Astyanax mexicanus: one gene and its partner. The protein of the gene in region 2 interacts with the protein of the main gene of each other region in a biochemical or structural test. Links are inferred from orthologs where the notes say so. Each region holds a gene or a part of one and is shown on either strand. Other genes may lie near its edges.

Region 1 (7,671 bases), on a different chromosome or scaffold from region 2:
AAGCTCCAGTTGGCTTATAAAGACCCTCCTGATGACACAATAGAGGGCAGATTGGTCTTGTTCGTTAACCCTTCCCCCAGCTACACATTCACACCTAGAACGGTTTCGGATCCTTTCAAAGAACATTATCTCTAGACCCTTGTATACATTAACGACCCAATGGGTGGGTTTCAATCTGTCAGGCTAATCAGAGAAAAACTGCATTAGGCTCATAACAACGTCAACCAAAGAACAGCACTTGTAAGATTAACGATTAACAGAGCATGTGTTCCTTTTACGTAGATGTTCTCAGCTAGTGTGTCTCAGAAGATGGCTCTTTGTCTGTTTGATTACATCACAGTGTTTTTTGTGCTAATACATTAGTCAGTGATGAGCCTGCTTTTATAAACTGGGCTTCCAATAATGACTGGAGTTGAGTCATGTCACGTGTTACATGAGAACAGAGCAAAATAATCAATCAATTAATCAATACTCTGATGTATTTCTGTGATGAAAAAGACCAGAGATTTGTGTGTAAGAGAAGCAATTTTATAGGTTAAAAGTGTTGTTTATATATACACACAATACACCAGGAGAACCATTAAAACTCTATATAGCACCCTAGAGGATTCCACCATATTAACTAGTCAAAGAACCCCCTTTTAACACTATAAAAGACCCTTTTTGTTTTAAAACGAAGACAAAGTCAACCCTTTATGTTGGACGCAGATGGAATTTGACTTATGCCTTTAACCCCTCTGTGCAATGAATACACACACAGTGTGTTATTCACCATTGAGCAAACACACATGCTCAAGGGCCTTTCTCAGGGGCCCAACAGTGGCAGTGCAGCAAACCTGGGTCTTGATCCCCCAACTTGATCCACAGTAAAACTAGTTAACTAGTGCTCTAGTTAGTCTAAAAGAGACTCTAGTCTAAAAAGAGGTCTAAAAAGCTAATTTGTAAAGATGTATTAAACCTCTTTAATACCATTTATATTTGTGATAAATGGTACAATGGGATCTATGACAAATGCCACAGAAGAACCATGTTGTTATAAAATATGTGAGAAAAATATGTATGAAAAAAAAAACTTATAATAGTTTCAAGAATTTTACCAATTTAAAAGTACTTTACACAAACATGGTTTGTTATGGAATCCAATGTTTTTCTTTTTTTCTATGGAACCAAGCATTTCTAGGGTTGTTCTTTAAGAGGAGTCTTCTAAGGGCTAAGAAACATCCACTGAAATATTTATATAGAAACCAAAAGTGCTTCTCCTAAGAAACGGTGGGCAGTATGATGATATTTTAGAACTGCCAAGATGTAACCGACAATGTCAACTATGAAAATTGTCAACTCTATAAATAGTTAATTTGTGACACCAGTGCTCTACACAGAGTGTTAGGGAATAAAACACAATGGAAAAAAGAGTTCATAGGCTCATTCACATAGTTTACAATTACAACCTGGTCTGTCTCCAAAAGTGTCCACACACAACAGATTACATATTTACTCTCTAAAAACCCATATTCCACATTTAAACATCTTTTATGCATTTACAGGGAACTTAAGTCCCACTTTCAGATGTTTATTTCATTTTAAAGTGATGGGGGCATGGCAGAAATAACTGTTGACTAATCAACAACCAATCAGAAAAATAACCATCAGATTAGGTATCTACCAATTTAACAATTAGTTACAGCCCTACAATTATTTAGTGCACTGTGATAAATGAAGAACACTAATTCAAGAACACTAATTCAACTGTACATTTAATCACAGCGAGTGTAATAAGTCCTGTTTGATTAGATTAATTGCATATTTTGAACAAAAAACACTGACCTCAGTCTGTGAGTCTAAATATTGCGATAAATATCATGAAACCACGTATCATGAAAAATAAAAAAATAATATTAATTTAAAATTTAAATATCATTAATTTTTTTTTACCATTTTGACCAGCTCTATATGGTCTCATTTGAAGACCACTTAGCATTTATCTAGAGTCCTTGAAGAAACACTTCTTAAGGGGTTTAAAGAACCATTGTGAACTAAATATCTTATATTTTCATATATATATATATCATATATAAACCAAAATTGGTTCTTTTATGGCATCCCTTCAAAAACTCCAGAACAGCTTGAGCACTTTTGTTTTTTTGGAAAAAAAAAATTGAGACAACTTAAAAATGATGAGTTTCTTTGATTTGACCAAACTGAAAACCTCTGGAATATAATCAAGAGGAAGATGGGTGATCACGAGCCATCATACCGAGCTGAACTGCCTTTTTGCACCAGGATTGGCATAAAGTTATCCAAAAACAGTGTGTAAGACTGGTGGAGGAGAACATGCCAAGATGCATAAAAACTGTGATTAAAAAAGGGTTATTGCACCAAATATTGATTTCTGAACTCTATTGAGGTCTGAAAGCTCTGCATCTTTTTTTATAGTACATATATTTTTTATACTGTCTACAGTCAGTGCTAGATGGATTTTGGGGTCTACAGCAGTGCAGCTACTAGCAGCTCCAGCTGATCTGTGCTGTGAATTGGCTGAAGTTGAAGCAGCCTGAGGCTGGGGGTGATGTTGTTGATGTTGGTGATGATGATGATGATGCTGAACACAAACCGGGCTGCGCCGGTCTGAACCAGCACCACCACATCTGCCTACACCGCAGGCCAGCAAAGACCAAACGAATACAGTCACGATACACGAGGAGGAGACCTGAAAGCTACCGAGAGAAAGGGAAAAGAGGAAGAGGAAGGGATGAAGGGAAAGAGGGGAAAATGGAAGAGCACTGAGGACAGTACTGAACTGGGTTCAGTACAGGGCTCTCAGCTAGCTAGGTTACTCACCTTGTCAGCCTTGGGCTTGTTCTGCAGCAGCTGCTCCAGGTAGAGGTCCGAGAGAGCCGTGCGGACGCTGCTCACCCGCTCCAGAGTGACGGCAGGCTCGTTCTTACTGCACTTTAACGTCATATCTACAGAGTCGCTGCAAAAAAAGGTTGGTGGGGGATAGAGGTTAAAAAATAACCTCTGGTCAGATGGGGAGATAGAGAGAGAGAGAGAGAGGGGAGTCTTGAGGGCGGAAAAAAGAGCGATAAGGAAGCTGGAGATAAAGTGTGAGATAAAAGTTCAGCTCCTGCTCGAAGTCCGAAGTTCAGGGCGATGGAGCTCCTGCTGCTTCTACTGCTGTTACTGCTGTGGAGAACCAGCTGACAAAAGCGCATAAACACTTACGTATGGAGGCTCTGGAGGAGGAGAAACCTGGGGGTGGGTTCGCTGCAGCTTCCATCAGAGCGGAGCAGTTACGTGGATATGATGACGGAGCGGAGGGAGGAGGGGGCTAATGCTAAAGCTGAGACTGAGCGAATGTGTGTGTGTGTGTGTGTGTGTGTGTGTGTGAGCGAGTGTGTGTAAGAGTGTGTGTGTAGTGGTAGAGTGGTGGAAATGTCAACAGCCTCTGAGAGAGCTGTCCAAGTCTTAACCTTAAACAACATTAACCAGTTCTGCAATGAGCCTGTACAGAACTAACGCGAGCGCTGTGGAAATGTCAACATTAACGGGTTCAAATATGGCGGCCAAAACAAACAGTGCAGTGCTGTCAAAACAAATATACGAATATCTGCAAGATTACTGTAAAAAATATAGCGTTAGCTAGCATGGCATTTGCCATTGTAAGGGTAGGCAAAAAGTCCACAACGACGTGTTGTATTTTTATCACCTTCCTTTAATAATCCTAAAATATGGGTACGTTACTTGCTACAAGCGGGATTTAGAGGGTCTAACCAGCTACCAGGCTCAGAAGTTTGGGCTTATAGTGGTTTGATATATTTTTTCAGCAGAGAGTAAGTTTTTTTCAATACTGCTTATTTTTTGCCACCAAATAAATATTTTTATATATTTTTATGTATCAAACATTTTGTCCAAATGTCACAAACTTCAAAATAATTTTTATTGGCATTTACAGTATACATTTCAATAGCATTCATTTATTGTGTTTCACATTGACATCAGGATATTCAACCGCTTTATTATACATTGCACTGTTTAAAAAGCCTAGACTTTTATTTTTAGTGTGTCAGAGCCCTTTGAATAGCTTATTATGGGCTCAAGAGCTTTTATTTTTATCCAATACAATATTGGCTATGGGATATGAAAATCAAGGTGGTTCCTCCAAGTAGATATCCCAAATAGCTGGAATGGTAAAGCATTTACCACCTGTCAATGTTGCCATTCTTTTTTGGTGTTAGTTTGTCCCATTCTTCCTGCAAACAGTCCTACATACATTTAATTTCAAAACTCTGCACATTCACTATTAGGGACAGCTAGGAACTGCAGGCAGGCCACTCCAGTATCTCTACTCTCTACGTCAGTAGATATGTGCTGCATTTGGTTTTGCATTGTTTTGAAGAAAATTGTATTGATGTTTCTGAAATATAAATTGCTTACACAATAAACATTTAAATAACTAAATACTGATTCAATTATGTAAATAAAAATTTCTCTTTATTTTTTAGAACATTCTATTCAGTATTCAATCAAACAATAAATCGCAAATATTAACACTAACAGACACTTAACAAAGAATGCATTTTCTAGCAATTCAAAAATGTTAATCTTATCTTGTTAGAAGTGCTTCCATTGATCATCCAATGCCTGCCGTCATCTGGTTCACTGATAGCATTTTATTAAGGTAGCATGCATTAATGAGTTAATCAGCTTTATAAAGCTGCCTTAGAGCAGCATTCATTACACAAGCGAGGCAGCTTTAAATAATCGTATACAGTGCAACACAATTTAATATTAAATCTATTCATCTTTAGTCATTTATTTAATCTAAATAAATATATGTGCATTTGAACAAATATAAAAAGTAGAATTTAAAAGCAGATTTTAAGCACGTGCCACTACAACACTACAAGAGGGATCCTTGTAAATTACCTGGAGTACATTTACATAATTACAATATTTCTTTACTTCAGGATACTACACAAGTGCCATATATTGCTGTAGAGAGGAGAAAACATTATAGCTGATCATTGAAGTATTATAAAACACTACATAAATAAATTATTTTTTTTCAAAAGTTGCAGTCTTAGTGGAGCTAGACTGGTATTTTCAACTTCAGTTTTTTTTTATTCAATTGTACACAATGTGTGTATTGCAATTACTATAGTTTCCTACATACCCTAGATATGTTACGTAGAGATAAACATTATAAAGTGATACAGTATTATCATAATGTTGTAAATCAGTATAATTTTATAGTATTTGGCACTACAGCTCTGTAAATATAGTGCACATACAATATCTATAACTCCAATGTTTTCAATTTGTGTTGTACGCCTTTGTGTGTGCAGTTGAAATGTCATCAGCATTCACATATTCAGAATTTGTGAATGCTGTCAAAATGTCAGAAACACTGCCATTGCAGAACAAACTTGTGAGCTTTTTGTCCCTTTTCAAAATAACCCCTTCTAGCTGAAGTTGGCACTGGGCATGTTGACTTTAAGATGTGCAGCTTTTACTGAGTGCCATTTCCTTAACCAATAAGAGCCCAGACCCATTTGTCAATATTGATGTCAAATTAAAAACTGAGTAAGATAAAAATCAGTAAGCAGCTCATTCCTGTTTTTTTTTTCTTATGTAAATACTTTAAGGTTAAATCCTGATAACTTGTATTTGAACATTTTGTTCCAGAAATCAGGCCTATACTATTTAAAGCATTTGAACTGTTAAATGGTTGTAACAGAGCTGTAGAAGTTAATAATACATTTTAAAAGTAGCTAGTTTTATCTCAGCACTAACCCAGCACTCCTACATTCGGTAAATAAGGTCAGATGAATGAACACAGATTCACACATTGCCATGTAATCCGCTCAGGATGTTGAGTATATGTTAGTTAGGGACTTTGTGAGTTTAAATGAAGGACATAGTGCTGCAAGGAACGTTCCAAATATTTTAAAAGGTCTGAGGCACATACATCACCATTGGATAAGATTTAGGAGTACAGATCTACTGTGAAATAGTAACACGCACCATTACCATTTAATGATATCATGAAGTGGTCAACATAGATACACTCCATGTTCTGTATGACCAATGTACATCTAAGCTGTGAACCAAATGGGCACCAGAATGGCAACTAACCACGTGCCTCACAGAACAAATGTTTTTAGAGTCTCTTTTCTGAAAATCTGCTGCCATCTGCTGGTGTGTAACTCACAATACACACCAAACACTGGCAAAAAAACACAACGAGACAACTAGGCCCATCTAGCTGAGGAAGTTCTATGAGGCTGATGCTGGAGAACTGAGGGCTTGAGTCCAACACAGTTTTTAATATCTTTGCTGATTGGTAGAGATGGCACAATGACAACTTCACAGCACCCATCTGTAAGTGGTGTAGAAGCGATTAATCACATTTTTTTCTGTACTTCTGGTTATTATTAGATCCAACTAAAGGTCACTTTACAACCTAAACATGTTACTTCACATTACATTTACTGTTGTTAGAAACAATTATGCATGTAATGTCTGAATAATATAAATATATGACAAAAATATTAGATAAGTTTTCATCTAATATTTTAAATAATATAGCAACAGATTTGATTCTTCTTCTTCTTATTATTATTATTATTATTGGCATGTAAATTTTGTTGTATATTTACAAAAAAGTGTGAAGTAAAAACTATATTTTTTATTTTATTATTATTTATTTTTTCTACTGAAAGTAACTTACTTCTTATGATGGTGTCATTTTATTAAAAATATTTTTGGCAGCAGATAATATAAACTTTAGATAACCCAAACCCTCCTAGTCTATTAGCAGAACAAGACATTATCCAAAAGTCGTTTTTATTGCACTATATTATTATTGTTGAGATTCATTGCTCTCATCACCAACCTGCGTGTAAAGCTGGTGCCCAATGAGGCGAAAGCTCGGGTCAGTGAAGCTGCTGCTGACTGCAAGATATTTCTGAACAGGCATCTGAACTGAAGCCTAAACAAAGTGAAAGACCACATAACAGTCAGCGCCAGTTGCTAACAACAAACACAGCACGCAAAAGTTTAATTTAAAACAATTTCATGCTTTTTCTGCTGTATTATTTTTGAGTGGACCAATCCATATATTTTTAATATTAAATGAACACCCACTTGCTTTCTTTTTTTACCTGAAAAGGCACTTGTCTTATCTTTGATTAGGCCTTTGAACGGCTCTTTCTAATGCACTGGGTACATGTTAATTTTAGAAGTGTATATAAAATGAGGTGTTGGAATTGTACAGCTATAGTTTTATAGTTTTGGTTATGCTGAATTAATAATTCAGTAAAATAAATACTGTTTGAGGTTCACGGTTTATCATTTGCATTTAAATTGAAATTTCAGTCTGTAACCATGGCTCTAGTCATCACTCTATGAACAGATAACAGCAATTCACTTTTTTATTATTAGTAAATAAAGTTAAATTAATTAAATTAATGTTAAAAGCCGTTCTTTTAAAAAACAAACTCTGTATGTGTTTAATTTTCCTGCTTATGTGCTTTGTCCTCTGAACAGCAAAGTGATAGAAAGATTAGCTAAAACCTTAGTTTTACCTAAAGTAGCACTCATATAATAAGTCATGTAATGTGGAAAAATGAACAGCTTAAAGAGCAATAGATTATACCAGTTGAATATATG
Region 2 (7,726 bases):
TTTCTCATTCATGCTTAGAACAACACCCTTTTCAAATTTAATACAATAAAATCCCCACTGATGCAGAAATATCCTATAAACAACCACATGTAAAAAAAAGACTGCTGTACATGACCTTCAACTCTGTAAAAAGTGATATGCCTACATTAGGTCACAGTGATTTACAAAAACAAACAAACAAAAAAAAACTATGAAATGGAATTGATTATTCTGAAGTTACATGCCATTTAACTGTACTTTAAACATAGGAGCTTTAAAAGTAATATGACTTCAGGGTAGAACATTTATGTGTACGCTTTTGTCTTCTAAACACTGGCTCAGCTCGAAACGATTAGTTTTCCTCCAGTTCTGTGTCAAAAGCATGCTCTGATTTACCCACTGATACTGTAAGGGGACATTTGTAAGATGAAGCACCGTTTTTAGAACTAATTTTGGATTAAAGGCTTATTTTCATCACTTACATGGTGGACAAGAGAAATAGTTAGACAAACTTAGCACATATGATTGATGAGTGATGGGCGGATTATGATTAGAGGAGCAAGAACACATACTAGACAGTCCAGCATGTTTAAAAATGGCTAAAAAAGTTAACTGGCTGTTTTTTCGCTAACTGAGACTAACCGAATAAACTACAAATAAGTTGTAACTCAGATGTACAAAAAGATATAGCAATTTTCCACTACATTTCTGACATTTTCCTTGACAGACTGCATTAGACCCTGTGTATATACTCTGCTGCCCTTTAGCTTTTGGGTTTTCTGATGAGTAACATACATGTAATAGATGAAATAAGATAAAAGATGATAAGTCCTGAACCCAACAACAACCATGACAATCTGATACTGGCTTAACATGGTCCAGAAGCACAGCATAACACTGTGTTCATGGTTCATGTTCTATTGCCTCAACTGCCAATTGCCAAATACTCAGACTGACAAAGAAAATAATCCAATACTGTGAGAAGGAACAAATAAAAACCCTCCTAAGCCTGGGCTCAATTCCTTTAACCATATCAAACTTTATTGCATTTCTGGTTTGGGTAGCATTAGCTCCTGGTACTCTTCCACATGAAGCCCCAGCAGGTGCTTAAGTGAACTGATTGTATTATCCGACGCAACCATACTTCCACCCTTGGCACACAGGCTCTACAAACATTACAAGCGTCTGTTCCTTCATTACATGTCACACACACATGCTATAGATGTCAGTGCAACATGTACTGACAGTGTGAAAATGCTTCCTTTCCCTGCAGCTCCCATTCCACTAGCCTTATAAAAACAGCTCTGAGGTGCCGCATTAAGCAATAACCTTGGCATGCATTAAAAACCACAGTATTTAGTAACACTATTCACACTTCACCACCATAGACTTTGAACATTTAATAGGACTGACATTTCCAAACCAAAATTTGGTTAGCAACTAAATGGACTGACAGGAAGTATAACCTTTGTACCTCCCAATGTAGTTAGTAAACACAGCAAGACATAAACAAATCAAGACTTTATTTAAGAACACATGGATAAGCAGAGCAGCTCAGTATTCTAAGCATGGGTGATGTTTTTTGTGTCCTGTGTACAGCTTTATTTGTTTACATACCTCTGAAGTTCCCCTCCCAGTCTCTTCGACTCGTCCTCAGGAAGCACTTTAAACATGTCATCTTCCTCAAGTTTTCGTTTGTATCCAATGCGAAACAGGGGGTTCAGCCAGCTGAGTAAAAAAAAAAAAAGAGAAGGAAGACACAGCACAGGGCTTCCCGAAACTGAAAGTGAAAATTCTCAACAGCAGCAAAGCTAGCAAAAAAGCCAATGTTTCACAATGTAAAATGACCCACAGCTACTGTTTTTGTCTACGTTCTTATTAGATAAAATGATGAGATGAAACTCAAGTTCAAATGCTGCTAAAAACGGCAGCAAAGGGAAACAGCTGTGCTTTTGTGAGATGTTTACTTTCCTGTAAAAAGGTCAACAGCAGGCAGGTTAGCTAGTTAGCTAACTAATAAAAAAATACATCTGAAATAAAAAATGACCTTTCTTTTCATTCTATCTTTTTCTTTTATTCCATTCTCTGGTGTTTTAGGGCATTATAAAAACATAGTTATTTAACTATTTAGCTAGTTAGCTAACTAGTGATTCTAGGTGATTCTCTTTAGGAAAGGATCATCAAGAGTCAAGCTGACAACCAGCAACTGTAAAGCTGAACAACAGCCAGGTAAGGTAACTAATAACCTACCCAGAGAACCTATTTGACTAATTTAGCAAATACAAAAATAAATCAGCACTAATAGCTAGGTAACTATGTATTTACTATAAAAAATACATTAGCTACTAGACTTTAGTACTTTAGAAAACTTTAGAATTTTGTATTTAAAGGCAGTGGGAAAGTGCCAGGTAGCGTTTTTAGTTATTAATGACATTTTTATAACATTATTAACGTTGTTAAAGGCTAGCTAAGGTGAGTCCCTATAGGAAAAGCATAATCAAGAGTCAAGCTGACAACCAACAATAACCTACCTAGAGAACCTATTTAACCAATTAGCTAATTTAGCTAATACAAAACTAAATCTGAGCACTAAAAGTTAGGTAACTATGTATTTACTATAATAAATACATTAGCTACAGATCCAGTTTAGACTTTAAGACTTTGGAAAAGTTTAAACTTTTGTAGTTAAAGGTAACGTAGTGGAAAATTTCAGGTAGCGTTTTTAATTCTGAATTACATTTTTATGACATTATTAACATTGTTATACTTTAGCCCTACAGAAAAAGCACATGCATGCTGAGAACCAAAAACAACTTTATAGACAGATAACTTTAGTTAGGTTATGTAGTTAATGTCAGTCACTGGATTTTGTAGCCAAGAGGGGAGGGGGATCACGTGTGTGAGTAAATAAAAATAAATGAATAAAAATAGTAACTACAGCCTGCACTGTAAACGTTAACGTTACTTCTTTTCCTTCTGCTGCTGCTGCTGTATGAGTAAGCTAGCTTTTAGTTTAGCTAATCTGGCTAGCTCTTGCTCATTAGCCTCTGCTAGTAGTTAGCTAACCTATAGCTTATTAACTTTAATTAGCTAATTTCCTCAGTTGAACTTCCTGACATATGTTAGATAGGTTATGTCCAGGTAAAATAATTCCTCAGTATTTATTTTATAAAGGTTATTTCTTCCCCAGTAGCCTAAAACAGCCTCCATACACACTTAGCTAACCTATATAAACTCTCACAGCCCGCAGTAACCGGCTAGCTCACTCACCAGAACAGTATCTGAGACACAATATTAGCAGAGGCGGCCGGATTAGTCTTCACATCTTTGCCCACGGGCTCCATATCGATTATTATCCGCTCCGGAGCTTCACCCGCTCATCCGCGCGCTGCCTCGCTCACTTTCCTCCTCACTTCTGAACAGATTCCTCATAAACTGTTGTGTAACTTCCCCGCGTGCACATGGTAATCAGCAGGTGACGGAGGCGCTCGCGCTGCTGCTCTCGCGCTGCTGCTGTTGCATCGTAAAGACAGCCGGCAGCGCTGTAGATGAAGGACGCCGCCCAGCTGCCCGCGAGGGCGCAGCTCGCTATCGGCCCAGGGCGTGTTCCCTCGCAGCCCATTGGTCCATTGTCCCCGAGGTGCACATTTCCAGGAGCCTGGAGCTGTCACTGCTGCACAACAGAGTGTAAAGTGTGTACTGTTATCATTAAAAACAGCTTAAAATTGTGAAATACCATCAACCTTCACCTTTTTTTTATCACTTTTTTATCAGTCAGTTCTGTAGTAAACTGACTGATAACTGAGAAAAGAAGCACTTCAAGGACAGTCCATTCTGTAGGAAAAAGTACATTTGGGACAAAAGTAGACAAAAGTCATAGCAGCATTTAATAACTAAGCGTTTATCTAGAATTAAAAGAGAAAATTAATTAATTTAGTTATTTTTTTTATCTTTGATTCATTTTATATTGTATTGCTAAAGAGAGCACACTGAATCTCGATGTCCTTGTAAAATGACATTAAATGTTGTACATTGACATTAAACGTCATTGTACAAGGACATTGAGATTCAGTGTGCTCTCCTTAGCAATACAATATAAAATAAAACAAAGATTTAAAAAAATGTAATAAATAAATAAATAAATAAATATTGGTCTTTTTTTCCTTTATTGATCAATTTCAATGTTACATTAACAAACATTCTTTATTTTTTAACAACTTAATCAACTCCCCCAAGCTATCTAACCCCCCTCCCTAGCCCCCCCTAAGTGGTTCCTCAGGTGTTCATGATGGTTGCTATGGTGTTGCTATGTGACACCAATAAATTCTATCCAACAAATTCCTGATATTTGCTTATTTAGGAGTATTTTATTCTAATCCCAGTATGATGATTTCATCATTGCCATGGGAAATACATCACAATAATACTGTATTGTGAGATGCCCTGTGATTCCCATCCCTAGAAGGGGTGACAGGAACCAGCCTGACAGAAATATGAAACAGAAACGTGATTTAATATTGACCCAATGTAACTACAAATCTGATTAGACGTTGCCTTTGAAGTCCTTGAGCTCAGATTGTGCTCTCTCCAGTGTTTTAAATGTGGAAGATGTGGAAGCTATTTTACATATTTACTGTCATTAAGTATAGATTTGTTCCAGTCAAAGCAATAATATAAGTCAATGTTTTAAGATAAACATGTTAGCAATTATTTATAGTATTAGTGTTTAGTACACAAGTGGGCCACAGATATTGTTTGTGCCCATTTTTAAGTGGTTCCTCTATCCCACACATCATTTACCTCATTAATAATTAACAAATCTGTCACCTATTGGGTCAGGTGTGTTAGAGTATTGGTCTCCAAACCTGGTTTTAAAAGCAGGCCCACTGCCCATGACTACTGCCTGAGAGACAGAGATACCAACATGTACGGGGTTCCCAGGACTGCCTTAGGTGAATATATGAAACAACTGAGCTAAAGGATATTCCCTTTGAACAGTTCTCATTTTAGGTTTAGAGCCTTTTGATAAGATGTGTTTGTTAGAATTCTGCTTTTTGGCCACAAAACCAACAAAGAAGGGCATTGTAAGTAGAGCTCAGCATTGCAATGGCCTCAAAAAAAAGTTCAGTCTTCAAGCAACAGAAAAAAAAACCACACTGTGCTGCTGTGAGTGAAGAAATACCACATGTTGATCCCGCTCTCTCTCTCAGTACCAGCACAAAGAAATCAGAGAGCATTTCAGTCCATATTTTAGCTTTTTTACAACAATAAGTGTAACTTGCAGTAAGGGCTGACAGAAAAAGAATCGCATTAAAAATCACTCCTGCACTTTTTAATCCAGTTTTTCTGCTTAGATGAACAGGTTTAATTAAACTGCATGACCAAAAAAAAAGGTCACAAACTCTAATATTTGGTTGGCTCACCTTCAGCTTTGATTGCGGCACACATTCGCTGTGGCATTGTTTTAATAAGCTTGTGCAATGTCACATTATTTATTTTTAAATCCAGTGTTGCATTAATTTTTCACCAAGATCTTGCAGCAGCATTGATGATGGTAGAGTCTGACCAACCGCTGCACAAAGCAGCTCTTCTCCATCCAGCACATCCCAAAGATTCTCAATGAGGTTAAGATCTGGACTCTGTGGGGAACTCTTTCAATCCATGTGTGAAAATGAAGATCTCATGCTCCCTGAACCCTGAACTATTTCACAATTCCAGCCCCATGAATCCTGGCATTGTCATCTTGGAATATGGCTGTGCCATCAGGGAAGAAATATAAAATCCATTGATGGAATAACCTGGTCTATATTCAGTATATTCAGGTAGTCAGCTGACCTCATTCTATCAGCACATACTGTTGCTGAACCTAAACCTGCAGAGCAACTGCAGCATCAACCAACCCCACATAATTTACTTACTTACATCCAGGTGGAGACTTTTCTGACCAGGCAGTGTAGTTGGTGCACTTTATAGTGAATAGAGTACAGTTTTAGATATACTGTGACAAATACTGGATATTAGTAAGCTTTAGAGACCTGCATGGAAGTGGATGGAGCGGTACAAGCCATGCCAGTGTTTTGTTCTAGTCAATACTGCTTTCTCTCTCTTTCTCTGTTTTTCTACTTTTCTCTCTCGTATGTTCTTTATAGGTTATCCGTTGGCTAAGCCTCTGAAAGGGCAGTGCATGAAAGACGCACAATGAGAGACAGAACAGGTGGGCAGTACATTGATAAAGGGAATGGTGAAAGACACACACACACACACACACACACACACACTGTAGAAAAATATTCATGGGCTCAACGTAGCTCAGTCAAGTCAATATTACTCAGTTACGTTGTAAATACATACAATTTTATGTTTATTCAACTTCACTGAGTCAAATCTAAATGATAACAGATTAATCAGTTATGTTTATTTAACCTAACGGAGTTTTGTTCACAAAACAATAGTTTAATTAGCTCAGCAGTTTTGCAGGCTTAAAGAATTTAGTTTATTTAAGATATATATAGGTATTTTCAACATATTTAAGATATTTTTTATAGAACTGCCACTACTGAAAGTAAAACACATACTGTGACAACTAGGAGCACAGAATAGAGGTAACTTGCTCTTACAGCCTACAACACTGAGGCCTGGCAATCAACAAATATATTATACTAATGCACGACTAAGATAAGGTAGCCTTGGGCAACAGACAACACAAAGATGGTAAGTAAGGGAGAGGCCACACCCAATATGCAAATATATGGTGCCAGGAGCCTATGAAAAAAAAAGCTGTACGAACCAACACTGATGAAAATAGCATTGACACGTGTAGTATAACTAAAAGTTGGTTTAAATCATATTTTTTATTGATAATATTAGATAATATTAGATAATATTAGTTCTCCTGACTAGAACACAAAATCCCTTTTTAGAGTGCGCACACACACACACAAACAGTATGTGTTTAACACAACAGAAACATAGTGTTGTTTGTTTAGAATCTAATACTGACACCAAAATCCCCACTGTGAGGCGAGGCTGAGAGAGTGTGAGGTTGTGGTGAAGCTCCACAGTCTGAACAGCACAGGATCATTAAAAATGGTACTTTAAATTGTATCTGCAAATTCTGTGGCATTATGTTAGAAAGTCACTTTGTGATTTAAAACTCAAAAGAATTTGGGTTAGTCCATATAACAACTAAGCCAAGACCCAGAAATAAATCAGCAGACATCCGTGATTCAGTTCTGTTGAAATGCTGTGGTGTTACACTGCACTGAGCTGATCAACAACAGAAAGGGCTGCGGTTAAAGCAACTGAAAATAATTCCACAGTTCCACAAGTTCGTGAATATGAGAGTTTATATCTTGGCAGGATGATTGCAGTGCTCAGTATTTGGGTGGTAATACGTCTGAAATTATAATTATGACTCCAGGATTAGCCTCCCTCCATTACTTTCTATACCCTAAAGTAGGGGTGGCCAATAAAAGAAGATATATATTTTTTGAGATGATTATCCACACAGAAGACATGTTGACTTGATTTGTTTTGCCCAAGAATGCAAAATATTTTCTCTTCTTCATATGTTTTGGTCCTGTTCTAACTTTGAATTCTTTGCTGTAAGATATATAGGTTTTTGAGAATAATAAAAATAACTTTAAATAAATACATTTCTTTAACCCCTAGGCTAGCCATGTGTGGTAATGACCCTGCTTTACCAGAGAGTGAAGAAACTTCTTCTAAAGTTTATTAAAATGGGCTT

The links.
Region 1: the proteins of abcc4 (region 2) and mpp1 form a complex in vitro, tested with the Homo sapiens proteins (2 studies listed by BioGRID and IntAct, with this or other methods). The link is inferred for Astyanax mexicanus from reciprocal best matches to the Homo sapiens genes ABCC4 and MPP1.

The regions. Positions count from the first base shown.
Region 1 is NC_064424.1:19,034,176-19,041,846, forward strand, and holds the start of mpp1 (55 kDa erythrocyte membrane protein), read right to left. Parts: upstream 3,344-7,671; 5' UTR 3,223-3,343; intron 2,975-3,222; 5' UTR 2,962-2,974; coding exon 2,839-2,961; intron 1-2,838. UniProt on the Homo sapiens protein: Essential regulator of neutrophil polarity. Regulates neutrophil polarization by regulating AKT1 phosphorylation through a mechanism that is independent of PIK3CG activity.
Region 2 is NC_064412.1:55,549,375-55,557,100, reverse strand, and holds the start of abcc4 (multidrug resistance-associated protein 4), read right to left. Parts: upstream 3,515-7,726; 5' UTR 3,324-3,514; coding exon 3,250-3,323; intron 1,708-3,249; coding exon 1,597-1,707; intron 1-1,596. UniProt on the Homo sapiens protein: ATP-dependent transporter of the ATP-binding cassette (ABC) family that actively extrudes physiological compounds and xenobiotics from cells.